Canis lupus familiaris: one gene and its partners. The protein of the gene in region 1 purifies or fractionates together with the protein of each later gene. This does not show direct contact. Links are inferred from orthologs where the notes say so. Each region holds a gene or a part of one and is shown in the gene's direction. Other genes may lie near its edges.

Region 1 (5,177 bases):
CAGGGAGTCCAACGTGGGACTCGATCCTGGGTCTCCAGGATCACGCCCCGGGCTGCAGGCGGTGCTAAACCTCTGGGCCACCGGGGCTGCCCTCTTAGGGAATTCTTAACCACAAGTCCACCTTCATGTGGGTTTGTGGCTCAAATTTATATTTACTGCAAGTTCTAGGAAGCCCCAGGCCAAGAAATTCACACAAACCCTGGTCTCAAGATGGTAAGACCTGTGGTGCCCAGCAGGAGTAAATGTAAAACCTCTGGTAGGACATTCCCTCCACACGAGCCACAGTGGAGCGGGTGCCCCCAAATGTGAACTCAGAACACCATGAGGCAGGGGGAGCCAGTTTCCTGTGAGTGCAAGGTAACTACTAACGTGTCAATTAGACCACCAAAAACTTCTGTAGAATATGGATATAGGCTATAAAACAATTTAAACTGATTAAAGAAATAGGAGTCAAGAAAAAGAATAAGATACTTTTTAAATTTAAAAGATTTTATTAGAACACAAGCAGGAGGAGTGGGGGAGGGAAAAGCAGAAGCAGACTCCCCCTGCTGAGCAGGGAGCCCCATGCAGGGCTCAGTCCCAGGACCCTGAGATCATGACCCTAGCCAAAGGCAGACGCTTCACCTACTGAACCACCCAGGCGCCCCTCAACATACTTTAATGGCAGATGTGAATGTAACTGGAGCCTTCCAGTACTAGATTCTTTCACCACTGTCCCCACCAGGCCTGCTAATTTTATAGGAGGTGACTCTGGAGAGTTTGAAGAAGGTGTCCATGTTTTGGGAGTTTGGCAAGGCAGTTTTGCAGAGGTGAATTACTTTGTCTACTCTGAGGTGTTAGGTGGAATTTATAATGGATAAATGGAGTTTATTAGGAAATGAGCTTATTGGGAAAGTAGTTTCTAAAATTATTGTCTATGTGGGGAGGGGCCAGAATCAGGTGGCAGTCACTGGATTTTCTTTACCTACAAGGTAGTGCATTAACATCTTACACACATAATCTGAAGTCTACAGTATCTAGCAGACAAAAGCACTCAGAGCCAGGAGGCTTGTACCCAGCACCCCTGGGAGCACTGTTCTGCCCCGTTCTCCTGTGTCTGGTGTCTGCCCCTCAGCTCTGTGTAGATGATCTCCCCAGTCCCCAGGAGACAAGGCCCTGGGCTTAAGGTTCTCTGTAGGGTACTGGAAACGTTCTACAGTTAGGTTGTGGCACCAGCCGTGCAGCCCTGGGAATATCCTAAGGTGCAGGGAGTTGTGCACAGGAAGAGAGAACCTGTTTACCCCCAAAAAGAAAGAGGTTTCCAAGGGTGAAATCCTTTAGTGTTTGCCTCCTGCTCTGAGCTTCCCACACATGGGAATGCCCAGCTCCTCTCTCCCACTGAGATCACGATCTTGCTTTAGTCTGAGGGAGAGTGTCAAGAGTTTAAGGAAAGGTTCAAGTGCCCACAACATGCCAGGTGCTGGGGTCTGGGGCTGCTTTCTCTTCTCTGTCCTTTTAAGACAAGCCTGATCCTATTGCTTACTTCCTGCCTGAAACCTCGCCCACAGGCTCAAGGCCACATTGCCCATACCTCCCCTGCCTCTAGCCACTCGTCCTGCTGCTTTCCTCCTTGTTCTGTTCTCCAGCCAGGATGAACGAAGCTTCCCCAACAATGCCTCTGCGCACACCTGGAATCGACTCCACCCCCACCAGGGCCTGGCAGGATGAAGTTGTGGCTGAATGAACTATTTGTTTTCCTCTTTAAAATTAAAAATTTTAAGTGGAGCACACATAAGCATATAGCATGTGGGGAAGGGAACACAGTACTTGTTCCTCTGAACCTCCCGGTCCTGTCCCTGTACCGTCCCCATCCCCAGGTAACTGCTGTCCTGATACATTAGTCATGCCTGTGATTTCTTTACAGCTTAACCACGGAATGGATTTATCCTTAAACACTAGTGTTTGGTTTGCCTGCATTTGAATTATATGTGGACGGAACCCTGCTGTGGTTTTCAGAGTCACACAGGCTGTAGGTCAGGCCTCACTGCCACGGCTTCCGTTGTGTGGACCTGCCACATTCTCCGTGCGCTAAGTGGACATCCCTGTGCATGTGTCTCAGTACACAGAAGGTTGCCCTAGGGTATGGACTTGCTGGATTACATGATATGCATACTTTCGACAATAGTGAGGTCACCACACTTTCTGAGGCAGTTGGACTGGTTTATGCTTCCACTGACTGTGTGCTTACCTTTTCCGGGGAGGCTCCCCTTCCTGGCTCCTCCTAGTAGAAGCATGTCTTAATGCCGCCTAGGAATAAATGTTTGATAAATGAATCAGAGCTACCAAATGGGGATAATTTCCTATCTTAAAATTCTTCCCTCTTGATTTGCTTTCTTTTCTTTCTCGTAGAAGAACCCATCAAGCCCCTATAACCTCGCATATAAGTATAACCTTGAGTATCCGGTGGTTTTCAACATGGTACTTTGGATAATGATCGCCTTGGCCTTGGCTGTGATTATCACCTCTTACAATATCTGGAACATGGATCCTGGATATGACAGCATTATATATAGGATGACAAACCAGAAGATTCGAATGGATTGAACTTTCCTTACGCCAAACTTAAAAAAGAGGTTTGGAAATTGGCTGTTCTGTTAAATCTTCTAGTGTAAAGTAGATGGTATACTTTAAATTTATAAAAAAGAAATTTTGTTTTCCGTGTGCCTGTAACGTTCTTTTAGAGTGAATTATAGTATTGATGTGAATTGATTTGTGTGGTATAGATTCCATGATATGCTCAAATATGATATAACCATTTAATTTCATTCCATTTAACATTTGGAAATGTGCACTGAAATAAATGTAAAACATTTAGAATAGCTTGTGTTATTTATGTTGGGGGAAAATGCACTGAATTTATTAGACAAACTTAGGAGCGCTTAACTTCCTTACACAGGACAGGTGAAAATGACATTTGGGCTGTTCTATACTATGAACCATTTGTAAATGTCTTACCCTTGATGTAAATATCTCAAACAAGATAGAACGTTTTTAAACTTCAAGTAGCCCTAAACAGGAGATTGAGAACTGCATCTGATTCACAGAGGGTAGCTGGCTTTTAACCTCTTCTGAACGTTTGATGATCTAAATCGTAGGGTGCATATTAAAAATACTATGTTGATCTAAAAAGAAACTGGAAAAAAACAACTGGAGTTATAGATACCTGTCATTAGATACCCAAAAGCCAGTATTTGGGGGACATCTATAAAATGGGGCTTGACTATAAAATCTTTATTTTAATAACTCTTCCCCCTGTGTAAGTTACTGTTAATGGTTTGTGGTACGTCATTCTCTAGAATATTAAGTGGAAGTAGATGCTCCGGAAGTAGATGCTCCCTACTTTTCATGTGGAAGTGGACCAATGTCTATAAAGAGTGACAAATAAAGTTAATAATGATTCCAGATTTGTGTCATTTCAATACTAAATTTATTTTATATTATAAAATCCTAACAAAGCAGGTTGTATTTACTCAGAATTGGCTGTTACACAAACGGTTTCATGTCTCTTTAACATTTGTTTATTCTCGCTGCCTCCTGAGATTCAGTTTCAAGACAAGACATTTTAATTACCATTCTTATTGAATTTATACAGAATATCTGGTGAATTCACACTAGACTTTAAGTAGGAAAAGCCCAAATTTCCCTGTAGTATTTAAAAGAGGAGTAATTGATCAAAATAGAAAGGACTATCTAAGGTAAAGGCTTAAAGGTTATAGTTTTATTTCTTAAAAGACTTAATAGAATTTTAAATTTCATGATCATGTAGCAAAATCAGTCAGTTGTGCTGTCCTGCCCCTGGGAACTCTACTTGGGCTCAGCAGGAGCTGTTTCCATGCCCCTTCTTTGGGAAGATCATCACATCCTTTTTAAGTAACACTGAGGGTGGCAGGTTTGAAAAGATGGAGTCAAGCTAGTTGCATTTTCTACCACTTAGTGGAAGATACCTTTAACAATTACAGTGTTAAGTGTCCACAGAAGAAGGTTTGATTTTCTTTGTCTCCTCTAACTATAAATGGCCAAGCTGGTATCACGTTCCCTGAGAAGAGAGTTCCAAAATCACTGAAGTGTTCTCCACCTCTACCTCCCTGGTAAAGTTATCGGGGTGAGGGTGTTTTCAACTGCCTGTTCCCAAAACGCTAACCCCCAGAGAACTCAACAGGGCCTGTCTTTGGGGAGCCAGAAATCTATAAGGCTGAGGAATAGTTAAAATCTGTGTTTCTTTCACAAATTTCTTATATAAACATTGCCAGAGAAGACTGTGATTACATAGGAAGTAAACCAATGCCTTTGTAATTTAAAACTGATGAGATGAAGTTCGAGGGGAGAAAAGAATTACATGACAGCACTGCTCCTCATAGTGTAAATGGCATCAGCACCCTTCTATCTGTTAGGCAGAAAGCAGTTAATTAAAATAAATGTTCTGCCAAGATTATTATACCTGTTGCTGATGATTTGCTTTTAAGTCTAATTTTGTTCAGGAACATAAATCAGTGTGGAGATTTGTATAAGAGGCAGGAAAGCTAGACTCATGACAGACTATTCTACTGACAAGCTGAAAAAACCCAATCAGTTTATATCAAATTGGTAGAATAATCCAGGCTTATAAAATATCTGAGATTCTACATGTGTGAGGTACTGCTTCTGGCCTAATCCTTTTACGAATGCTGTAGAATTGATCTTTGTTCTCTTTGGCTATGCCTATTTTGAAGGAATGGTAATATGAATACATTTTCATTGGTACCAAATAAGTGGAAGCCATGAACTCACTTTTTTTTTTTTTAAGATTTTATTTCAGAGAGAACACAAGTGGGAGGGAGAAGCAGGTTCCCCACTGAAAAGTGAGCCCAACATGGGACTCATCCTAGGACCCTGGGATCATGACCTGAGCTGAAGGCAGATGGTTAACTGAGCCACCCAGGCGCCCGACTATGCAATGGCTTCTTGGAACAACAGAGTTGCTGGAGTTAGTAAAGTGCACTGGGATTAAAACCCCTCAAGAGTCGTACAGATTAATTCAGTTCACCATGTCACCATCTAATAGCTGAACAATTTTGGGCAAATCCCTCAATCTCTATATCAGGATTTTATTTATTTTTTAAAGGATTTTATTTATTCATGAGAGACACACAGAGAGAGAG
Region 2 (6,195 bases), about 88 Mb from region 1:
AGGTGTGGGTAATTTATTTTGTGTGTGTTGTTGTGGCAAATTTGGGCCAGAAATTCAAAATTAGAAGTCCATGTCTCGGTTGAATATTTCTCCCTGAAAGAGAAATGGATTTCAAATTCTTACATGTTTAATTCTTCTTGAAATTCGTGAGTTTTGTATTTTATAATTATTCTACATTTTTTAAACTGTCAGGATAAACTACTCTTAGTTTCTTCTATTTTTTAGATTCTATTTCTTCATGAGACACACACACAGAGAGAGAGAGGCAGAGACACAGGCAGAGGGAGAAACAGGCTCCACGTAGGGAGCCTGATGTGGGACTTGATCCTGGGATTCCAGGATCATTATCAAACTTTCTTCTCTCTATATTTTTATTATGAAAAATGTCAAACATACAGCGTATTAGTTTATTAGGGCTGCTATAACAGATTCCCACAAAACTACAGGCTTTTTTTAAAAAAAATATTTATTTGAGAGAGAGAGAGAGAGAGAGAGAAAGCACACAAGCAGGTGGTGCGGCAGGCAGAGGGAGAAGGAGAAGCAGGCTCCCCTCAGTGGAGTAGGAAGCCTGATGCGGGCTCGATCCCAGGACCCTGGGATCATGACCTGGGCCAAAGGCAGATGCTAACCGACTGAGCCACCCAGGCACGCCCCACAAATCAGCAGGCTTAAAACAACAGAAATCTCTTCTCTCAGTTCTGGAGGCTAGAAGTCCAAAATCAAGGTACAGGCATGTGCCCACTCTCTCTGAATGAAAGCCCCTAGGAAGGAATGTTTCCTGCCTCTTCGGCTTCTGGCGGGTCCTGGGGTTCCTCACTCTAGCTCTACTGTACAGTGGCCTTTTTCCCTGTGTTCAAATTTTCCTCTTCTTATAAGGACACTAGTCATGGGGTTTAGGGCTCACCTGAATCCAGCATGACCGTATCTGGATCACATCTGGAAAGACCCTATTTCCAAATAAGACCACATTTCTGGATGGATCATGAATTTAGGGGGTCAACCTTATATCCAGTACCTATAGGAAGGTCAAAAAACAACCCTACAGTGCCCACCCATAGATCCACCCCCTAGGTTCTGCCATTAGCAGTTTACTATGGTTGCTTCATCACACACCTATGTCTGTAGTCCCACTTCGCTCTATTTTATTTTTGGGGCATTTCAGACTGAGTTGCGGGCATCACTTCAGTTCCTCCGAAATCAGTGCGCATACCCTTAACGGGAGCTCAAAATTTAATTATAGTTTCCAGTGTTTCGACTGTTGATCTCTAATAGTCACCAACCTGAGAAATCAAAAATGACCCAGGAAAAGGAAGTCTTCCAATGGGTTTGATGCGGTGTCTCCCACCTTGACTCTAGCTGTCCCATGGCCTCTTTCCTCTCTTTAAAGCAAACGTCGAGAAAGGACGATCTACAACCACGTCTCCTTCCCCCCATTGACATCGCTCCTGCCAAGGCCTCCAGGTGTTGCCAAGTCCAAGAAACGGTTTTCTGTCCTCATCCTACGTGCTTCTTGGCAGCAAGTGACACTGACATTGCTCATCTTGGTGCCCTTGAAACCGCGCTTCTCCCTGGCTCCTCCCCTCCCCCCGACGCTCCTCCTCCTCCCCGCCCATTTTCAGTGCAGGACCTTCCTCTGGAAGTTAGCCCGGGCCCTCCGGCCGCCTCCTCTGTCTCGGCGGGGCCCACCTCTGGGAAAAAGAAGCCACTCCTGCCATTTTAAGCGAAAGGAGGATTAAAGCCGGGAGACGCGAAGCCTGGAGGGCGGGGACCCGGCGAGCCGAGCCGCCCCGGCCCCGCCCCGGCCCCGCCCCGGCCCCGCCCCGCTCCCGCTGGGAGCCCGCGGTGGGAGCCGGCCGAGCCCCGCCCTGCCGCCTTTCCCGCACGGAGCGTGCCCGCCGGAGGCACGTACAGCCAATCCGTGCGAAGGAGCGGCCCTGAGTGGCGTGAGCCTTGTCCAATCACCGGCGGGCCTGGCGAGCCGGCCTGCGCCCGAGCCAATGGGGGCGCGGGGCGGAGCTCGGGCGGAGGCGATGGTCACCTGATTTGCGGCGGCAGCGGCGGCCGAGGCAGTGGAGGCCGAGGCTGTGATGGCGGCGATGGCTGCGGCTCGGGTGCTGGCGGGGACGCGCCGGGCCCCAGCGCTCAGACAGATGCGGTGGCTGCCGCTGTTGCTGGTGGCGGTGGCGGCGGCGGAGCAGCAGGTGCCGCTGGTGCTGTGGTCGAGTGACCGGTGAGCGTGGCGGGCCGGGCCGGGGCAGGCTGCGCTGCGCGCCGCGGCGGCTGAGGCGCCCTCGCCCGGCTCCGGGGCTGTCCTCAGCGAGCGGCGGCCGAGGGGGGCAGAGGCGGACTGTCCCTTCCTCGGCGGCCCGTGGGGAGCCAGCCGGGTCAGAGCTCGGGGCCCCGCGCGTCACGATGGTCGCAAGCCTGCACCCCCCACTTGACAGCACCTCTTCTGTGCCCTGCCAGGGACTTGTGGGGTCCTGCGGCCAGCACCCACGAGGGCCACATCACCAGCGACATGCAGCTCTCTACCTACTTAGACCCCGCCCTGGAGCTGGGCCCCCGGAATGTGCTGCTGTTCCTGCAGGACAAGGTGCGCCCGCCCCAGCCCTCTCTCCCTGTCATCGGAAGAAGTCAGGCCCCCCTCCCCCCAGGACACCGAGCCCATTCCCCAGGGGAGGCTTCAGTGACCTTGTCCCAACCGTAGGGAAGTGTGGCTCCTCTCTTGGGAAGGCCTGCAGGAGAAGGTTCCGTGGGAACGGTGAGGGCCTTGAAATGGCACTGACTTGATTCGGTTGAAGCCCCGGGTGAGAGGCCAGATGCCTACCCAGTACCAAGCACTTATCCGAGCTACTCTATGTGGGGGGGATTATCATCCCCCTTTACAGATGAGAAGACTCGGGTCCAAGGACGGCAAATGACTTGCCTAGGGTCACTCAGCTAATGGGTGACAGAGCTGTGATCCTAACTTTGATGACGATAGTAGAGATAATTGAAAAATGATCACTTAATTGAGTGCTTCACATGCACGGTGCTAAGCTGATGTCATTATCTTGGATTCACTGCCAAGGGAACTAAGGCTGGTAGAGGTGCAACCATTGACGAATGATCTGTGGCTTATGCGCACCACACTTGGTTGGTTCCAGCCGGAGTCTGTCAGACACCCCCCACTTTGTGCTCAGGCACACAGTTTTCCCTGCCATACAGGTCTCTGCCTCCAAAGCAGGCATATGGACCATGAGAAGATTCTAGGGCAGTGTAGAATTGGTGTTTGGGAGCTTATTGAGCCTCTGCTTATTCCTTCCTCAGGGGTGGCCTGTGTGGCTCATTCTCCTGTGGTCTTGCTCAGTTGCTCTCTGGGCACGTCATGGTGGTCATGCTGGCCTCCACTCCTTCCAGGAGGTGGTAAATAATGTAGTTAGACGGGAACTCAGTTCTGGTTCTACTACTTACCACCCTTTGGATGTGGGAGATAATCTGTGAATGCCTGTTTCCTCCTCTGTACAATGAAGATACCACCTGTATCAGAAGACTGTGAGGAGCGATTCTTATAAGCCTCGTAAAACACCTTTCCGGGGTCCCCTTATGGGATCCATCCATTCATTCATTGGCCAAATATGGACTGCCTGTAGTGTCCCAGGTAGCAAGTGTTGGGGACATAGCAGCGAGCAGAGTAACCCAAGCCCCTCCCGGAGGAAGCTGGCAGCCTCGGGAGGGCAACAGGTACATGCTAAGTTGGTGTATGATATAATGGCAATGCTGCTGTAGTTTTCAGAGAAAGAAGCAGGCCATGGGAACAGAATGATTGGCGATACTGTTTAAGATAAGGGTGATCAGACGGGCTCACTGAGGAGGGCTATCTGAGCAGATACCTAAATGGAGGGAGGCACACAGCCATGTGGGTATGGGTGGAAGAGTGCTCCTGGCAGAGGGAACAGTAGGTGCAAAGGCCCTGGGCAAGGAGTGCGCTTGGTGAGCCCATGAAAGAGCTGGTGTGGCTGGAGTGTAGTAGAGGAGAGCCAGGTAGCCAGGTAGCCAAGGGATGACAACCGGGGAAAGGCTGGTTGCAGTTCTAAATGTGGCAGGAAGCTTTGGGCAATTTTGAGCAAGGAGTCCTGAGAGGACACGGTGGTGGTTCCTGGGCTTTCAGAATGAGAGCCAAACAGGGTTAGGATGCCTGTCTAGATGGCAGAGGAGGCTGGGCAAGTGTGTATACTAAACAGAATCAGGTTAGAGAAACGGATTAAGATCGCTTCTGGGCCTAACTGGGAAAAGCCAGAGGAAGCTGGGAGTCGGGTGGAGGGCAGGAGTTGAAGGACACGTCTAGGTTGCAGAGGAAAAGGGATGGGATCGTGGTTACTGTGGTCCGGAGAGCTCCAAGGACTTCAGTGCTCTTTCCAGCAGATTCTACCATCTTCCTCTCTCCCCTTCCACCAAAACCAGGCAGGGAAGGAACTTCTTGTTCTCTTTGAAAAAGGGTCTTGTCCAGGTTGGACATAGGCAGTGCTAGGCGTTGCAGCTGGCACGCAGGTTCTCCTTTTCTCTGACTTCCGCCCTGGGGATGGGGCGGCGGTGGCAGTGGGGGAGCTGCCGAAAATGTTCCTCGCTGTCCCCCAGCCCCTCCCCCAGCTTCCCTCTTCCCCAGCCAGTTCCTCATCTGAAGGCAGGTGGCTGACTCTGAATCTTGAGGTTACGAGTCAGCTGCCTGCAGATTGCCTTCCAACCCCATGACCACCTTCCATGTTTTCTCACCCTACCAGGAAGGAGAAAAAGAGAACCTCCCATTCCTCCACTCGCTACCCCCAAACGTGCCTTTGTCCACACTTTTGACTAGACTGTGTCTGATTGCAAATGAGATTTGGCTGTCCCTGCCCATGCGCAGGGAAGGTGTCTGCCCCCTGTCCTGGCCCAACCTTCTGAGGCACCTTCTCTGCTTCCCTACTAGCTGAGCATTGAGGACTTCACAGCATATGGCGGCGTGTTTGGAAACAAGCAGGATAGCGCCTTTTCTAACCTGGAGGTAAGAGTCCTCTCCCAGCCAAGGGCCATGGGGGCTCTCCTGCACTCTCTACCTCCATTCAATAAATACTGTGCCATTAGGAACCAGAGGTGCTGGCTTTAGAGGGTAGAAAGGCCTGAGATGTCAGGGACCAGGAGTGTGGGGTGTTTTCTTTCTGACTCTGAATAAGACCCTGGTGTGAGTGTGGGTGTGCCTGTGCCTTGCCCGAGAGGTTTGGGGGCTGGCTCAGGCCTGCTGGTCCCTTGCTAACCTATCCTTCTGTCTCTCCCTGGCCCCCAGAATGCCCTGGACCTGGCACCTTCCTCTCTGGTGCTTCCTGCTGTCGACTGGTATGCGGTCAGCACTCTGACCACTTACCTGCAGGAGAAGCTCGGGGCCAGCCCCCTGCACGTGGACCTGGCCACCCTGCGGGAGCTGAAACTCAATGCCAGCCTCCCGGCCTTGCTGCTTATCCGCCTGCCCTACACGTCCAGGTATGCCCCAGCTTCGGAGCCCAGAGAGTGGTGAGGCTCTGGGCTGTGATGGCACAGGTCAGCCAGAGACAATGGTCCTCCCGTTTAGTCCCTTGAAGCCCGATCAGAAGGTGCTTTGTGTGTCCGGAAGAGGCGGGAAGGGCCTCTGGTCAGCGGGGACTCAGGAGTTAGTGCCCGGCACTGCGTGAGGCCTGTCGGGCCTCCAGAGATGTGGCAGACGTGGGCCCTGCTGGCGGGGGAGCTAGCTCCCTGAGCCGGGACATGTTCCCGGAGCAGCTGGCACAGGGGTGACGAGGGCAGGGCCAGGCAGTCAGCGAAGGTGCAGAGGGAGGAGTGAGCGTGGCCTCCAGAGCCCCCAGCTATACTGTGCTACTTGAACGCGGCCCGTGGGGAAGGACGGTGGCCTGGAGGGGAGGGTGTGCTGGAGGCGTAGACAGGAGCTGTCCCGAGGCGGTGGGGCGCTGTCCGGATTGCGGGGGCTCTCATGCTCTGCCTCTCTTCCACAGCTCAGGTCTCATGGCACCGAGGGAGGTTCTCACGGGCAATGGTGAGTAGCAGGGTCAGGGAGGGCACACGTTTTCCAGCCTTGCTCAGCCCTTGGCTGCAGAGAGCTGCCTCACGGCTCCTCCTCAGTCCCTCTTCATTCCCAGAGCGGCTCCCCTGCTCCCCGGAACAACTGGCAGCTGAGCAGAAAGATGCCGG
Region 3 (5,919 bases), on another chromosome or scaffold:
TCAGTAAATTGACACCCCCCTCCCCCGCCAACTGTAGACCTGCTCCTGGACATTTCAGCACATATTGGTGGGTAGGTCAGAGAAGACCACTCTCCTCACCTGGTTTACTCAGTAGCCTATCTGCCTCCTCACTCTTCTTTAAATTTCTTCTTCCCTTTCCCCCTCCTTGCTTGGAATCCTGCCCCCTTAAGACCTCTCTCCAGGGCCTCTCTTATGTTTGCCCTCCTCCCCATCCTTCATTGAGCTCCTTGCAGACAGAAATCATGTCTTATCAATCATGGATCTTCAGCCTTCTCATGGCCACATTTGATAAACACTGGTTGAATGAATGAGTGTATAAATGTGCCCAGCTCTTCACCTGATAAAATCACTGAAGGCAAGATCCATTCTCTTAAGTACCCAACCACTTGTGAGCATTATGGGCTAGTTCTGTGCCAGGCACTAAACCAGGTGCTTCTACACGCACCCGTCTTCATTCTCTGCCCTCCCTCCCCACTCACTCTAGGTGTGAGCGCTTTCCTGGATGGCTTGCTGGCCACCTCCTCAGCATCATCTGCTTTCCATCTGTGTGTCCATAGATGTCCAGCCCAGCTGCTCTTCCACAACTGTAGAATGGCCCTAGGTATTGAGCATTTATGGACTCTATCTCCCTTAAACCTTACAGCCCTATCAAGTGGGTAGGGATACTACTATCTGAAGAACTTGAAGCCTTGAGAATTTTGATGATAAATCCAAAATCATACCTCTAAGTATGACTTTTGGGCCAAGATTCAAACCAGGTGTGCCCAAATCCCAAACGTCTCATACAAATACCCACTAGACGAGACCATCTGGATGTCTCAAGCACTCTAAACTCACAAACCATATGCTGAACACCAGTATGCCTGTTTGCTAAAAATAGAGGAGGAAAGGGTGGACCTTTCAGTCCATATTTCACACTAGGTGAAATACGGCTAGCTCACTCAGACGTGTTAGTGCTATCCACCTAGTTGCAATGGCCAGAAACCTGGGAGTCAGCTAGGTCTCTACCTTACTTCCCAAACATTCAATCTGAATACCAGTTTTGTCCATTCTGTCCCTAAATATCTCTTGACTCCATCTCCTTCTCCACATTCCCATTCCCACAACCTGAGTTCTGACCACCATTATCTCTTACCAAAACGGTATCCTTCTGCAGTCTTTTTTTTTTTTAAGATTTTATTTATTTATTCATGAAAGACACACAGAGAGGCAGAGACACAGGCAGAGGGGCAAGCAGGCTCCATGCAGGGAGCCTGACGTGGGACTCGATCCCAGGACTCCAGGATCACACCCTGGGCCGAAGGCAGCACTAAACCGCTGAGCCGCCCAGGGATCCCTCCTTCTGCAGTCTTGCCTCTGCACACAGCACCGTGACAGCGCTTATCTCTAAAACATGTATCTCACAATATCATTTTCCAAAGACTTCAGGATAATTTGTCCTCAGAATAATTTGTTCCAGATTCTTTAACTTTGCTTGAGGGGACTTATGCTATGTCACTAAGCCTTTGCATATGCTGTTCCTCCTGCCCGGGGTGTAACACCCTCTTGTCCTTACTTCTATCTCCTAAATCCTTCGGGGGATCTTCTTTGCGCACACCGTCCCCCCAGTGGGTTGGTTATCCCTTCAGTGGATGCTTCCACGTACGGCTCACATTTTAGCAATTACCACACTGCTCTGTAATTAATTGCCTGTTCACTTGAATCCCTACCTCACTAGTCAGTGTCACCATTAACTTGTCCAATATTTTATATACTCAACAAATACGTACTAGTTGTTAACTGTGTGCCATAGTTAAATACACGATACAGACCCGGACCTTGCCTTCAAGGACAGAAACCGCGTCTCCTCTTCTGGGGGCTCGGTATCTATCAGCAGTGGGCGCATCGGGTTTATTGAACGACCGATGGAACGCGCTTGCGTGAACCTGTGGTGCCGCGCGCACTTCTGGGAATCGTAGTCCCCAGGTTCGGGGCCCCTCATTATTGCGCAGGCGTATTCAGATTAAGACGTTTTACTCTTGATGCGCATGTCCCGGAAGGCGGAGTGGTGAACTGCGCATGTGTAAAGGGCGGAGGCGCGGCCGAAAAGGCGGTGCGCTGCGGGGGAGGGGCTTCGTCGTCTAAGGGCCGTCGCCGCGGAGCTCTACCTGCCTGCGAGAATGGCGGGTAGGGGGAAGCTAATTGCGGTGATCGGAGACGAAGACACCGTGACTGGCTTCCTGCTGGGCGGCATAGGGGAGCTTAACAAGAACCGCCACCCCAATTTCCTGGTGGTGGAGAAGGATACAACCATCAATGAGATCGAAGACACTTTCCGGTACGGTAGCCCGCGAGGCCTGAATGGGACCCTCTGCCTCGGGTGGGAGCCACGGGGGTCAGCGGGGTCGGCGCCGGGCTTCCAGACCCCGATGTCTGGGGTCAAGGAAGTCGGTCCAGTCGCCCTTCCGGAGGAGGCCTCTATGCTCCAAGTTCTCTTTTGGGGCATGGGGGAACCTGAGCTATGTCAGGTTCACGAGCTCATCCCTCACATGACTCTGTGTCAGGAAAGGGGAAAAGATCTGGAGATGGGCGCCGCCCCTCGGCCCCAATCTGCCCCAGGGTCCTATCTCAGCTCCGCCCCTGTTCGCCCCGTAGAGCAGGCTCCCCGCCTTGTTAGCGCTCGACCCTAAGCGACCCACACACTTATCGAATACCTAGGCAGTGGGGTCGGGCTTTCTTGTATTGTTATGTCCCTTAGAGGCTCACAACTGCCTTGTAAAGTAGAGGCTATTATTCCCATTTGCAAGTAGGAAAACTAAAGCTCAGAGAGGTCACATCCTTTGGAAGAGAGAGAGGGGGGATTTGAACCCAGACCTAACTCTCTTAAGCCAGGTTCACACTGCTTGTGCAGTTCCCTCAACTCTTAGAATTTCCTATTGTCCTGAGCACCGCAGGCAGAGTATTAGGACTATATCCTGCTACTTTCTGCTAAGACCTTGCATTTGAAGTTCCTGATTTCTTACCCTGGGTCAAGAGCGATAGCTTCATAGTATGAATGCAGGCATGTCCCTTAAACCAGGAGGTGTCCTGGTGACTTGAATTGAGAATGCTAGCCCCCTTTGTTTTCCCGCCCCATCCTGAAGGAGGCTGTTACCCAATCTCAGGGACAAACTACTCTCACTTGTTTCCCCTACACAGTCCAGTCCTGAGCTGCGGGCTGAGACTGGTTCCTGCTGCCGGGGGTATGATTGGCCCTGAACCGGCCTGATCTCTAGGCATTCTGGTAAAGTGACCCAAGTTGTCTTGGGAGGAGGGTAGGTTTTACTCCAGGAATTTTTCATGTTTCCATCCAAAGGGACCCAGAGATCATCAAGTCTAACCTGCCCTAGTGCCTGGCACAGAGCAAGCGCTCAGTTAAAATAGTTTTTAATATTTTACTTAACTAACGTGTGGGTGGTCATAAGGAAGGGAGATCCCAGTGGTAGGTTCTCTGTCTGGGGAAAGTGTGATTTTCCTCCTCCTGTGTTGTATTCTTGACTCATGCGAAACTTCCCCTATGATCCATTCCCCAACGTCTTCAGCATAGACCTTTAATGGTCTCATCAGCCCTCTTTAAAAAAAAAAGCTTTCCTTTAAAAGTTATTCATGTAGCTTGTAAATTAATATTTAAAAGGTATACACGGACAAGTCTCACTCCCACCCCTCACTCCCACCCTCCTCTTTTTCCACTTCGTTACCTCCCTCCTCCACCCCTGTGAGCAATTAATTGCTTATTTACTTTTCTGCTTTTTCTTTATGTACACACAAAGGGACAGACATTCTTATCCTCTCTCTCTCTCTTTTTTTTTTTTTTTACACAAATGAAGCATACAGAAGAATGCACCAGCATGTGCACTAGTCTTCAGCACCAGTTCACTTGGGAGCCTTTCAGGCAGGGGAGGCAGAAGACAGCTAGAGGGCCCTTAGATTTTTTTTTTCTTTTAAGATTTTATTCACTTATGAGACACACACACACACACACACACACACACACACAGAGGCAGAGACACAGGCAGAGAAAGAGAGAAGCAGGCTCCATGCGGGAGCCCGATGGGGGACTCGATCCCAGGACTCCAGGATCACGCCTGGGCTGAAGGCAGGCAGGCACTAAACCGCTGAGCCACCCAGGTGTCCTGGGCCCTTAGATTTTTAAATGAAGGTGATCCTGGTTAGAAAGAGAATGTAGCTAGCAACTTTTGCCTTTGTGCTCTGCAGTCTCTGGGTCAAGCCCCTTCTCCTCTGCAGCCCAGCCTCAGCACCTCAGAGTGAGAATCTCTTCTCATTTCTCCCAACAGGCAGTTTCTAAACCGGGATGACATCGGCATTATCCTCATCAACCAATACATCGCAGAGATGGTGCGGCATGCGCTCGACGCCCACCAGCGCTCCATTCCAGCCGTTCTAGAGATTCCGTCCAAGGAGCACCCCTATGATGCCACCAAGGACTCCATCCTGCGCAGGGCCAGGGGCATGTTCACGGCCGAGGACCTGCGCTAGAGCCCTCCCCATAGCCATGCAGCCTTTCCCCAGGCTTGCCTTCAGCCCGTCTCTGATTTCCCAGCCCCCTGCCCCTTCCCAACCCACTGAGAGGCTAGGTGAGGTGCTTCCAGATTGCTGGGGCTTTGCCATTAAAGTCAAGGCTGGTTAGGGAACAGGAAGCCTGAGTATCTTCTCTCCACTACATCTTCCCTGTGCTGTTACACAGTGTCTCTGTTCATGTTAAATTAAAGCAACATTCCCGTTTCTCTCCAAATTGAGACTGGCTACTAGAAAGGACGTGCATGGATGAGGTGGTTGGGGGGATTAGATTGGCAGGGTTGGGAAGGGTTCTGCCAAAGATATAGGCATGGAAAAGCTGGACCAGGAAGATTGTGCCAAGAGATCATAACTCAAGGATGGATCCTTGGAATCAACGGTGACCAGCTCTGGTGGGAGGGATGGGAGGAGGCTTGTGCCTAGGTCCTAGGCTCCCCCAATTCATTCTCTCAGGCTGGGGAGGGACTTGACCCCAAGGAACGGAAGCAGAAACACAGGAAACCCAGAAGCCTGTGATACTAGACTGAGCCTGGGTCCTGCAAGAGGCTTGGAGATCAAGGCCTTAGCCGGTGGGCCTTGGCCTGAGGTTGCCTCTGGATCAAGGCATGTGAGGTCTGCTAAAGGCATGGCAAGTAGAACCCTGGCCCTGTGTGAGGTGAGGCTTGGTTGCCAGGTGACTGTCTGTGGCAGCCACCTGCTGTGGGAAGGACTCTACTTGCTATCGCTTATCCCTCAGCTGCAGCCACCCTGGTACCGCTCCTTCCCTTGCTACCATGTCGCGCCAACTCAGCATGGATACGCTGCGGCAGAACTTCTGGAAGGAGGAATATCTGAGGGAGAAGATGTTGCGCTGTGAATGGCATCATAAGTATGGGTCGATGGTGAAGGCCAAGCAGAAGGCTAAGGCTACAGCGCGCCTGCCCCTCAAACTGCCCACCCTGCACCCCAAAGCCCCACTCTTACCTCCACCTGCCCCCAAAGCAGTGCCTTCCAAGGTCCCCAGCCCTGCCCTGGAGGCTCCTATTCGGTCAGAAATGTACCCAGTCCTGCCTGCCACCCGGGCCCTGCTGTATGAAGGCATCTCCCACGACTTCCAGGGGCGCTACCGCTACCTCAACACCCGAAAACTGGACATGCCAGAGATGCGTTACCTCTTCCCCATCACCACCAACTTCACATATGGCTGGCAGCTGGGTGAGCCCCAACTTCTCAGAAATTATTCACCTCACAGACACAGAGCCCTTGCCACAAGTCAGGCCATGCAGTCGACATTAGGCGTACAAGACCCATGGGTGGGGGTGTCCATTCTAGTGGGGGATCTGGGCCATAAGCACGAGAGAAAGG
Region 4 (5,979 bases), on another chromosome or scaffold:
AGAAAAGCAAAACTATTTTGGTCTATATGCCAACCTGTCAACAATGGTTACAGGAGACCTCATTTTCTATGGTTCCCGAGTCTCATTGTTTGAGGACTTTCTAAAATATTTAATTGCAAGTATATAATTGTTTTTGTAATTAGAAAAAAATTAACAAGCTAATTTTTAAAAGAATACACACAGAGGGCTCTTTCTGTATGAGGGTGGACCAGAAACCCTGAAACCTTCTGACAACAAAACTGCTCATCTTAATGCTCCGGGTGAGAGGTTTCCTCTGTGAACTACAGCTGGACTTGGTAAAAGAAGGGCTGGCTGCGGTGGGTATGCCTACAGAGCTGAATATGAACATGCCCTTGGACTCAGCTTTTCTTTCCAATACGCCCCGGAGAAATTCTTGCACATGGAAGAGAAGGTTCATAGCAGCAATGCTGTTTCTAACTACCCCAAACTAAAAATAAGGTCAGCACCAAGCACAGGGAAATGGGAGCCCCCACCATACTCATTGGGTGTTAAAAGCAATGCTAAATGAAAACCTAAAGCTGGGAAAGAATACATACAACTTAATAAGTAAGTTTAAAACTAAAAACCGACCCATTTCATTTAGGAATACAAACAAGTACGACATAAGCACAAAGAAAAGCAATGAAATGGTTTATTTCATTCAATGAAATATTCACAGTATTCAATACTGTGGCTATTCTGAGTTGGGGAAAATACTCCTGAATTTCAATATATTAAGCATTTTTTATTTCTAATGTGGGCAGATAGGTCACAGGTGTCTAACAACGCTTCATCTAAACATATAAACATATACCACATGTACTTTGTATGTCTAAAACACAGAAAATCAAAGTGAATTTAAAATAATCAAAGGTATTAAGCTGATGTACCATCCAGATAGGAAACAAGCTCCGCCCACACAAGAGGCAAGAGACAGGGATAAATACAACATTTCCATTCAGGCATGCGTAACCCTCTTTATCAGTATAACAAGAAAATGGAGAAAATATTGCAAAGGTAGATCCTAATTCACAACTCGAATAAAACTAAGTTCCCTACGGTTTAACACTTTAAAATGCAATGGAATCATACTAACGCCAAAAGGCGGTAAGATATTGTACTTCTTGTACCCAAGAAGGTGGCAAAAAGAAAAACAGCGCAAGACGGTACGGGGGTGAATATCTACAGGATGACGTAAAAACTTAAAATTTGGGATGAACCAAACACACAGTGTAAACAAAATGGGAAAACTGTAAAATCTGGATACTGCAGCATAGATGATGCGTGATTTATTGCATCTCGGAAGGAACGTCTGCAAACCAACAGGAGGACCCAACAGGCAAGGAAACGGCCAGGAAGTACCCGAAGCGCTGCGCAGCCACACTAACGCTAAGAAACGCCGGCACCCGCGTCCCGCCCGCCCGGCCTGTCACTCCGCGGGGCTCCGGCAGGTGCCGAGGCCGGCCGGCCGCCCGCGCAGGTGAAGCCACCGGGCCGCGTACCTTGCAGCGCGCGCCGAACCTTGTCCTTCCGCTCCTGGGCCGCTCGCTGCGACTCCTCCTGGGCCCTGCGGTACAGGTACTCGCGGCGCAGGCGGGCCTCGCGGCGCAGCTGCGGGACAGCGGGGCCGCTCAGCCTCGTCCTCGCCGCACGCCCACGCGCCCCCGGCCCAGGAACCACCCCCAGCCTCCAGCATCCCCCCTACCATCCCGAGCTCGGCTTCCACGTGGGTCCGGGAGACTCTGCCGCGGCCGCAGGAGCCACGCCACCCTCGCGTCTGCCCTCAACCAACAAGGTCGCTCGACGCTTCACCACGCTTGGCTCCCGTAGCAGTGCCCGACGTTAAGATGGCGGAGCGTGGGTTGGTAGTCGCAAGGCGATTGGCCAGTCCGGAGGCGCATGCTCCCTGCAACAGCCAATAAGGGCATCAAGACGTTATCACGTCGCCTAGGAGAGCAGTGAGTCAGCTGTCGCTGCGTGTCTCATGACTTGTCACTGTTGTGCGCGATGCTCAATGTTAGGATTATGAACCGCTAAAGTAATCAGAATTCGTTGTTCGAAATGATCCAGCAACTGGAAAAGCAGCACAGCGGTTGTCTGGAGGTTCGCCTACCGGCTCCTGGAATTAAAGCCTCGTCTCCCTTAAAATCAAAAGTGACTTGATGGCGGCCATACGGCTGTGCGTCTTCCATCACCACAGCTCTAGCCTTATTCTCGTGCGGCCTCTTCCAGAAGCACCTCGGAACCACCCGAAGCTCTAGCCGACTGTTTGCCTGGCTGTCCCGCTCCGGAGGGACTAGTCCATTCTCTAGGGCTGTTCTGAGAGCGCTTGCCTTTAAAGGCGGGGACCTGGTGGCCTCTACACGGTGGCTAACTCGCCCCCGCCCCCCCTCGGCTGGGCACGCCCCTGCAGGTGGGTCTATTGGTTGCCGGGCCGTGGGACGAGCGGCGATTGGGCGACCTGTGAGGACGCCGGTTCCAGGCCTCTGTCCGCTGGGCCCATGGCTGCGCCGGACCTCCGCTCGGAGCTGGACTCGCTGCTTCTGCAACTGCTCCGGGACCTGGAAGAACTGGAGGCGAAGCGGGCGGCGCTGAACGCCCGGGTGGAGGAGGTGGGACCTTGGAGAGGGGTGGGCGGGCGTGCGAGGGTAAACCGAGTCTCACCACCCTCTCTTACCCCAGGGCTGGCTCTCGCTCTCCAAAGCTCGCTATGCCATGGGCGCCAAGTCTGTAGGTCCTCTGCAGTATGCCTCCCACATGGAGCCACAGGTCTGCGTCTACACCAGGTGAGGAGCCATGCTTGCTGGAGCCGGTGGGTGGGCAGGGTCCAGGCTGGGGCCTCCAAATATCCATACTGCCTTCTTGTTCTTCAGCGAGGCCCAGGACGGACTCCAGAAGTTCTGGGTGATGAGAGCCAGCGCCCAGACTCCAGAGGAGCTGGGACCCCGTGAGGCAGGTGAGTCCCTCTTTCTTCCCGTCAGGGCGCTCTCCCAGTGTGGAAAACAAAATGTACAGGAGAATAGAGGAGGTGAGTTTATTAAGGGTGTTGCGATAGAGAGGGCGGCCTGGATTGGAGGATCACAGTGTCTCGCCAGGCTGTTTTCTTCTGTAGGGTGAAATAGACAAGTTATAGCTGAGGTCCGTTACAGTTGGGATAGTTTTGCAATCAGGGGAAGTTTCATTCAGTTGAACAGAAAATGTTTATATGTCTAACTGGTTTCAGAGGAGAAATTTATAATTTCAATCACTTATGAGACGAATGGGGAGTTAGAGGATCTGTCCTACCTTTCAGCATGTTCAGGCAAAATGGGGAAAGTCAGTGTGTTGGCACTGTCACAGCTAAACAAGGGGTCATCTGCTGATCTTGAGAGTCATGGGAAAGAGTGGTCAGGGCCTCATCTGAATCACAAAGGGAAGGGTTGTTCTTTGTGGTAAGATGTTCTCTGGAACATAAATGGTTGGAGGCATTTTTCCAGCCATCAGTGTTTGTCAGGATCATGAGCTCAAATCAAATTCAACATTGTCACAGAGGAGACAAGGTACAAGTAATGTACCCCAACCTCCAGTCTGTCTTTCTCCAGCTTTGCGCAGGCGCAAGGGTCTCACCAAAACCCCAGAGCCGGAGTCCTCCCCAGCCCCCCGGGACCCTCTGAATTGGTTTGGAATCCTGGTTCCTCACAGTCTGCGGCATGCCCAAGCCAGCTTCCGAGAGGGTGAGTGGATGCTCTATCTACAGAAAGCACTTGAGCACTGATGCCATGCCTGGCTGGGGTTAATCTGCAAAAGGTTTTCTAGGTTTCTCCTTAGCAGGCTTTTGTTGCACAGCTGCTGGGCTTTTTTTTTGTTTTGTTTTGTTTTGTTTTGTTTTCAAAAAAGCATTTACTGGCTTTTGGCAATGTTCCAGGCTCATGCTAGGTGCTGGGGATACAGCAGGAAACAATAAACAGCCCTCATAGATTGAAGGGAGAGCGAGAACATGCAAATAACTAAATAGGTTCTTTATATAATACCAGGTAGTAAGAATTGTTATGAAAAAAATAAGATAGGGTATGGTGGATGGAGTGAGACAAGAGTGGGGAGGGTAACTATTTTATGGAGGGTAGTCTGGAAAGGCCTCTCTGAAGAGATGGAGGTGATCTGGAGGATCCGTGCTATAGGCAGAGGGACTAGCCAGGGCAAAAGCTTTGAGATGAAATCATGTTCAGGATGGCAGAGAGGAGGCCAAGTGGGCTGGACTGCCACTTATGTATCAAGGAATGGAAGGAGTGAGATCAGAGGGGCTGGGCCCAGGTGATTTTAGGTGTAGGTCCTGATGAAGACTTTGGGGAGTCACGGATTGCTTTGAAGAGAGGGAGGCACAGTTGGACCCACAGAGTGATAGAAGACTGGCAAGAACAGAGGGACTAAGCAGGTGCCAGAGACCAGCCAAGCTTGAAATGCAGGTAGAGGCAGTGAAGGAGAGGGTCACTGATAAGAACCTGCATGTTTTGAGAGTACAAGCAACAAGATTTGCTGACAGATCATTTTGAGAGTAAGGGAAGGAGAAGAGTGAAGGATAAGCCCACAGATTCCAGCAGGAACACCTGGGAGAGTGAAGCTGCTCTCACCTGGTGTGAGAGGGCTGCACAGCTACAGCCAAGGGTAAGTCAGGAGTTGGGCAAGAGTATGTTCCTAGGCTGTGTGGTGGAGACTCTGATCGGGTGTCAGGACACATGCATCCAAGTTTGGAAGAGACTTGGGCTGGAAAGAGAGATTTGGGGAGCCCACTGCATAACATTGGTGTTTAAATTTCCAAGTTGCTGGCACAGATATAGCATTAAAGCAGAGATTAGCAGAGGGCCTCAGAGTGTGGACAGAAGGTAGGAGGAAGAAGGGGAGAAACCACTGGAGGAAACTGAGAAGTAGCAGAGACAGGAGCAACACTCAAAGGGTGAGAGATCCAAGACGAGAAAGTGAAGGAGGTGAGCAGATGTGTGGCCAGCCCTCTTGGCAGGCAGGTAGGCTGAAGACTGGATGGGCAAGTGGATTGGGCATGGAGTGCCCAAATGACTTAATAGCAGAAGCATCAGGGTAGACCCCATGGCTCAGCGGTTTGGTGCCGCCTTCAGTCCAGGGCGTGGTCCCGGAGACCTGGGATCGAGTCCCGCATGGGGCTTCCTGCATGGAGCCTGCTTCTTCCTCTGTCTCTCTCTCTCTCTCTCTCTGTCTCAAATAAATAAATAAATCTTAAAAAAAAAAAAAAAAAAGCATCAGGCAAAAGCCACCTAGATGGGGATCCAGAATGTGGAGCACTCTTGAGGGCAGAGAAAACATGTAGAAAGAGAAGGCAGGAAAAATGAAGGACTATTAAAATGAAGGAAGGAAATGAGGGCATGCAGCAGTGTTATGATCTGTGAGTAATATGATCAGTGTTAGTTCCTGGTGGGTAATATAAGGGAGTAAAGGAAGTCTATTGCAGAGGTGACATTTTTGTAAAGATCTGAAGGAGGTGAGGGTGTGGGGTCTAGTGAAATTCTGAAGTAGCCAGTGCAAGGCTCTTCCTGGAATATTTTAGGAATACTGTGGAGGCCAGAGAGTTCTGGAGGCTTTCCAGTCCCTGGAAATGTTCAGAGCCCCCTGAGTCATGTGTTACATTGAAGATACCATGGTGACAGTCTTATCTCTTCTTCTAGGCCTGCAGCTGGCTGCAGACATGGCCAGCCTTCAGATCCGCATCGACTGGGGTCGAAGCCAGCTCCGGGGGCTCCAGGAGAAACTCAAGCATCTGGAGCCAGAATCTGCCTGACTTGTGACCAGAGGCAGGGTCGTGAGCACAGCTGTTCTTTGGTGTGGCTGCCTTATCTCAGGACTCCTTGCTTCACAGATTGTCCCTGCTCCTATTCCCACCTCAACAAGTTCTACTCCTTAAAATTTCTCTGGTTTGCATGTTTCTAGCTTTGTTAGGTATGAAACTTTGAAGAGGCCAACTGAATACTCTTG
Region 5 (5,421 bases), on another chromosome or scaffold:
CAGAAGGAAACATTTGAGTAAAGACTTGAAGGAGTTATAGGAATGGCTATCTGGAAAAAGAATACTCCATGCAGGGGGATAACAAAGACCCTGGTGCAGAATGTATGTGTTTTTAAGAAAGGCAAGATGTTCAGTATGTATATGCAGAATGATAAAGGGGAAGAGGAATTGGGGAGGAGGTTAGAGTGGTAGTGGCAGGGAGGACAAGACGTGGGGCTGGATGAGCCATAGGAAAGACTTCGTGTTGTTTCTTATGGTCCTTGTTATTTTCTGTGGAATACTTTGCATAAAAATATGTACTTCTGAATTTTAATGACTGTAGACCCTCCAGGAATAGGGCACTTTTAACCAAATTTTAAGAATTTTATATTTTACTCTGAGGAAATGATAACTCAAGAATACACCAATGATGGGCATTGACTACTTATGTCAGTTTTCTTGCTTTAGAGTTTGTAACTATAATTTTTTTTAACCATAGGTAAATTAACATGATGGATTTCTCCAAGCTACCCAAAATACTTGATGAAGATAAAGAAAGCACATTTGGTTATGTGCATGGGGTCTCAGGACCTGGTAAGTAATATGTAATAATCTCGATAGTAAAGACTCTTAACTTAAATGAATGTCTTTTCAAGGCATTTTAGGTAAAATACACAGGTATCTGTTCACCCATATAAGTTCTGTTTGTCCCTAAAAGATTTCTTAGTTGTTATTGAGGTAATACCTCCATCATAAGAACTTCTCTGGCATTCATTACCTTAATAATTATTGGGCACTAATTTGTAATACCCTGTTTATTATGTAAATGTATAATTGGTGTTCAGTTTTAGATGTCTTAATTTTTGTGTGAAATCTAAGCTTAAAAGACTATATAAAGTTCATAGCTTTTAGTATATAATATCTTGCAGATAATAGTCATTCAGTAAATATATGTTTATGTAGTTTGCCCTTAAATAATTTTTTTCAGAGCATTTCTCAACAATATCATTCTTGGCTCTTTGCATATATAAATCCTTCTGAACACTTATTTTAGATATCTCATAACTAGTTATATGTGGGTAAGAAGTTTTATGATGTGAGAATAATAGAAAGCAGTTAAAAACTTTGTTTATCCTGCCAAAACTTGCAGTACTGCATTTTAAATGATAAATCTCATTCTAGTATTCATTTTAATCTAACTGTAAAATATGATTTATAGTTTTCCATAGGTAAAATCTGCTCATTGATTTATAATCCTTAGGCCATGGATATTTTTCCTTATGTCTTTTTATAAACCTCATTCTATAGTCTTTTTTTGTTCTATTCACAGTAGTGGTGATGACCCTTTTTCAGTGTTTATGCAAATAAAGTCAGTCAGTCACAGTGTTTATTTTCTCCCTAAGAAGCTTCTACTGAAGCTTAGAACTTGGTGTTTGAGCTTGAACTTATTGGCAAAAATGCATCTCACTGTTTTCAATCTTTTTTGCCATTTGAGAAACAATTTTCCCCTTGATTGAAGCATCTTTAGGAAACACAGGCTACACTCAAGAATTTTTAGGGAAAAGACAAAGAATACCATCAAAAGAGTTTAGGTAAAAATGTTTCTTTGAAACTTGTAGTAAACTCCTAGAACTTATTATTCTTAAGTATTTAATATAAAATGATAGAGAAGTGGCATATTTTTAAGCTTCTGAAATATGGTTTTTAAAAAGATTTTATTTGGGATGAGCACTGGGTGTTACACTATATGTTGGCAAATCGAACTCCAATAAAAAAATACAAAAAAATAAAATAAAAAATAAAAGATTTTATTTATTTATTTAACAGAGAAAACACATAAGTAGGCAGAGCAGCAGGCAGAGGGAGAGGGAGGAAGTAGGCCCTCCACTGAGCAGAGAGCCGGATGCAGGAGTCAGTCCCAGGATCCTGGGATCATGACCTGAGCTAAAGGCAGACATTTAACCGACTGAGCCACCAAGGCAGCCCTGTGAAATATGATTTAAAATTTTAGAGACATCTGGGAGGCTCAGTCATGAGCGTTGAACTCTTGATTTGGGCTCAGGTCATGATCTCAGGGTTGTGAGATTGAGCCCTGAGTCAGTCTCCCTGTGGTGGGGAGCCTGCTTGAGATTCTCTCTCCCTCTCCCTCTGGCCCATCCCCCCTCTTAAAAAATAGTAAAATAAAATTTTAGTCATCTCTGACATTTCTGTGCATCTTAATTATTCTTATATGGTAGGTGTAGAGGTAAATATTTATGAAATTAACAAATCTTCATTGTCCTAACGCGTTAATTGAATATTAATACTTTAATGGTTTCTACTTGAATATTTTTAATATTCAGCCTTCTGATACATTTATTAGAACTATGTATTAGGTAATAGAGTTATTCCTACACATATCTGAAAATGTACAACTTTCCCTGCCTACCAGAAAAATAACTTTTACTTACTAGACAACATGATCTAAAATATAAAATAGTAAGTAAAAATTCTGGTTCAGAATTTATAAGAAATAAGAATTCTTAATCAGGACTTCACCCAGTGGTGATGACTGATTATAAACATCCTTATGAAAGGCTAAAAGGTCTATGAAAAAAAAATTTTAAGGTTTTATTTTTTAGGTAATCTCTACACCCAACTTGGGGCTTGATCTCACAACCCTGAGATCAGGAGTTGCATGCTCTACTGATTGAGCTAGACAAGGTGCCTCTGAAAAAAACTTTTGTAGATGCATATGTGAGTTTTTCTAGGTAGAGCTGTCATTAGTTTATCAAAGGGGTTCTTGTCCCAGAAGAGCTTTAAGAACCACCAATATGAAGTGTTAGAAGTCAAAGTAAAGATGTAATTTTAAATATTATTTCTCAAAGGAATGGTAACAACACAGCAAACTGATTCTGCCATGCTACTAGCTAAAGCTCTTGTTCCAATTTTAGTTTAAAAATGTTTTATGTTGTTCCTAAATCCCATCATTCCATGTAGTATAGCAACTTGAGTTGATCAAAATGTGCCTCAATGCTGCTAGGTAAGAATTTACTGTATAGAACTTAAGACTTTTTGAAAATAATTTTCATGTGTGTTATGTAAATGAATAAACTTTAGCCTAACAAATTTATTTTGTTTACCTCTGTATCAGATGCTAAAATTTATATTCTTATAAAACGATATATGTTTCATACATTTTTTCTTAAGAATATATGAGAAAGATGTATTATTGGATTAATTGGATATCTTAATTATCTCTATTCACGGAGTCTTAAGTTACTAAAAACTCATTTGTTCTTTTCAGTGGTTACAGCCTGTGACATGGCCGGTGCAGCCATGTATGAGCTGGTGAGAGTGGGCCACAGTGAGTTGGTTGGAGAGATTATCCGATTGGAGGGTGACATGGCAACTATCCAAGTGTATGAAGAAACTTGTATCCTTTTTGGTTCAATTTTTTGCCACTTTCTGCAAGTCAGAATTTAAGGATTTATGGCAAAGGTGGAAACAGCAACAACCAATAGTATCAAAAGCATGAAATGGTGTCATAAAGAAACCTGATTTATATAAGAATTTATTAAGGAAAGGTACTAGGAACTTATGATCATTTTTTAAGAAATTAGTATTATCTTCTGAACTCGTATTGCTCTTAATATTTTGGTAGTTCCCAAACTTTAGGGGAAACCAATTACAATTTTCTTGAGAGTGAACACATATTGTAAAGCATAAACAGAATGACGACATCGGTTTGAAGGGTTAAAATTCTCTGATCATGATTTCCATTTTAAATAGAAAATTCATAAATAAATGAGTCACTACTCTATCCTAATAAAATAATGTTGTATGTATGGCATGGTACATTATAGCTTTAGCACTAGGGAATCTTTACTACTTGTTTATCATACTTTTGTTTTAAGCATAGTATTTATTTTAAGTTTTCAATGAAAAAGAGATAATGTATTAGATTTTATGAAGAGGAACCACTTTTTTTTAACTTCACTTTTGTGTTTTACTTAAGTTATTCTCAAGATCAGCATTAAGTCTTATTTTTTTAAAATTTTTATTGAAGTATTGTTGACATACAATATTATGTTAGTTTCAGGTATATAACATAGGGATTTGACAATTATATACTTTATGAAATGCTTACCATAAGTGTAGTTATCCTCTGTTATCAAAGTTATTACAGTATTAATGACTATATTCCCCATGCTGTACCTTTTTATCCCCATGACTAATTTATTTTATAACTGAAAGTTTGTACCTCTTAATCTCCTTCACCTGTTTTGCCCATCTACCCAACCTTCTCCCCTCTGGTAACCACTAGATTGTTCTTTATATTTAATGAATTTGTTTCCTTGTTTGTCTGTTCATTTGTTTTCCAGATTACACACATAAGTGAAATTACATGGTATTTGTTTTTCTCGATCTGACTTAATATGGACCTTCTAGGTCCACCCATGTTGTCACAAATGGCAAGATTTCATCCTTTTTTTTAATGGCTGGGTCATACTCTATTGTGTAATATAACATGTATATATTGAAAACACAGTATATTCTATCTGTATACACATAACGGCCAGAATATTCTTTACGCACATGCACATGCCACATTGTCTTTATCCATTAATGTATCAGTGGACACTTAGGTTACTTACATATCTTGGCTATTGTAAATAATGCTGCTATAAATATACGGGCAGCATTAGTTATTTGGCTCATTAATTAAGATTTACTTTATACAACTTTTTTGCCATATTAAAATCCATTTTTTTCAGGTAACTTCTCTGTGTGAGTACTAGGGTGCTAAATCAAAGTAAAATCATCTGAAAATTTAAATAAAATTAGAAGTCTGTAGCTATAAAATCATAACTAATTAGAAGGATTTTTTAATGGATGTTTTTTAATGTTAGGTTTATCTTTCAATCTTCTATGTGATTTGAAGACTTAAAATAAAAACAAATGAACTTGTATACAGTGAAAAACCTCTCCACCATTGTCATCTTATATCTGGCCAATTTTCAAAACACATATGCATACAGCCACTTTTATTAATTCCTTTTTTTTTTTAATTTTTATTTATTTATGATAGTCACAGAGAGAGAGAGAGAGAGAGAGGCAGAGACATAGGCAGAGGGAGAAGCAGGCTCCATGCACCGGGAGCCTGACGTGGGATTCGATCCCGGGTCTCCAAGATCGTGCCCCAGGCCAAAGGCAGGCGGTAAACCGCTGCGCCACCCAGGGATCCCTAATTCCTTTTATTATATATCTTTCTAGTTTGTTAACTAATATTAATGTTATTTTTCTTCTCTTCATTCCCAAAAGATAGCATATTATATGCACTATTCTACACCTTGCTTTTTTTACTTAAAAGTAAAACATTTTACTTAAAAATGTGTATTATGAAGATGGATAGGTATGTGATAAAGTATCAGAAAATGTTAATGATAGGATCTAACTGGT

The links.
Region 2: the proteins of ATP6AP2 (region 1) and ATP6AP1 purify together in Homo sapiens (affinity purification with mass spectrometry; 5 studies listed by BioGRID and IntAct, counting the BioPlex papers as one, with this or other methods). This does not show direct contact. The link is inferred for Canis lupus familiaris from reciprocal best matches to the Homo sapiens genes ATP6AP2 and ATP6AP1.
Region 3: the proteins of ATP6AP2 (region 1) and ATP6V1F purify together in Homo sapiens (affinity purification with mass spectrometry; 3 studies listed by BioGRID and IntAct, counting the BioPlex papers as one, with this or other methods). This does not show direct contact. The link is inferred for Canis lupus familiaris from reciprocal best matches to the Homo sapiens genes ATP6AP2 and ATP6V1F.
Region 4: the proteins of ATP6AP2 (region 1) and CCDC115 purify together in Homo sapiens (affinity purification with mass spectrometry; 3 studies listed by BioGRID and IntAct, counting the BioPlex papers as one, with this or other methods). This does not show direct contact. The link is inferred for Canis lupus familiaris from reciprocal best matches to the Homo sapiens genes ATP6AP2 and VMA22.
Region 5: the proteins of ATP6AP2 (region 1) and ATP6V1A purify together in Homo sapiens (co-immunoprecipitation; 3 studies listed by BioGRID and IntAct, with this or other methods). This does not show direct contact. The link is inferred for Canis lupus familiaris from reciprocal best matches to the Homo sapiens genes ATP6AP2 and ATP6V1A.

Annotation. Positions count from the first base shown.
Region 1 is NC_049260.1:35,213,149-35,218,325, forward strand, and holds the end of ATP6AP2 (renin receptor), read left to right. Parts: intron 1-2,227; exon of another isoform or gene 2,228-2,388; coding exon 2,389-2,583; 3' UTR 2,584-3,441; downstream 3,442-5,177. UniProt on the Homo sapiens protein: Multifunctional protein which functions as a renin, prorenin cellular receptor and is involved in the assembly of the lysosomal proton-transporting V-type ATPase (V-ATPase) and the acidification of the endo-lysosomal system.
Region 2 is NC_049260.1:123,318,810-123,325,004, forward strand, and holds the start of ATP6AP1 (V-type proton ATPase subunit S1), read left to right. Parts: upstream 1-2,035; 5' UTR 2,036-2,087; coding exon 2,088-2,230; intron 2,231-2,466; coding exon 2,467-2,593; intron 2,594-4,945; coding exon 4,946-5,020; intron 5,021-5,299; coding exon 5,300-5,493; intron 5,494-5,999; coding exon 6,000-6,040; intron 6,041-6,195. UniProt on the Homo sapiens protein: Accessory subunit of the proton-transporting vacuolar (V)-ATPase protein pump, which is required for luminal acidification of secretory vesicles.
Region 3 is NC_049235.1:7,644,051-7,649,969, reverse strand, and holds ATP6V1F (V-type proton ATPase subunit F), read left to right. Parts: upstream 1-2,050; 5' UTR 2,051-2,180; coding exon 2,181-2,338; intron 2,339-4,334; coding exon 4,335-4,536; 3' UTR 4,537-4,792; downstream 4,793-5,919. Other genes in the region: protein ATP6V1FNB, read left to right, coding at 5,349-5,769. UniProt on the Homo sapiens protein: Subunit of the V1 complex of vacuolar(H+)-ATPase (V-ATPase), a multisubunit enzyme composed of a peripheral complex (V1) that hydrolyzes ATP and a membrane integral complex (V0) that translocates protons.
Region 4 is NC_049246.1:19,094,066-19,100,044, forward strand, and holds the start of CCDC115 (coiled-coil domain-containing protein 115), read left to right. Parts: upstream 1-1,930; 5' UTR 1,931-2,501; coding exon 2,502-2,612; intron 2,613-2,682; coding exon 2,683-2,786; intron 2,787-2,873; coding exon 2,874-2,956; intron 2,957-3,566; coding exon 3,567-3,713; intron 3,714-5,672; coding exon 5,673-5,785; 3' UTR 5,786-5,979. UniProt on the Homo sapiens protein: Accessory component of the proton-transporting vacuolar (V)-ATPase protein pump involved in intracellular iron homeostasis.
Region 5 is NC_049254.1:18,714,527-18,719,947, forward strand, and holds part of ATP6V1A (V-type proton ATPase catalytic subunit A), read left to right. Parts: intron 1-478; 5' UTR 479-488; coding exon 489-573; intron 574-3,265; coding exon 3,266-3,394; intron 3,395-5,421. UniProt on the Homo sapiens protein: Catalytic subunit of the V1 complex of vacuolar(H+)-ATPase (V-ATPase), a multisubunit enzyme composed of a peripheral complex (V1) that hydrolyzes ATP and a membrane integral complex (V0) that translocates protons.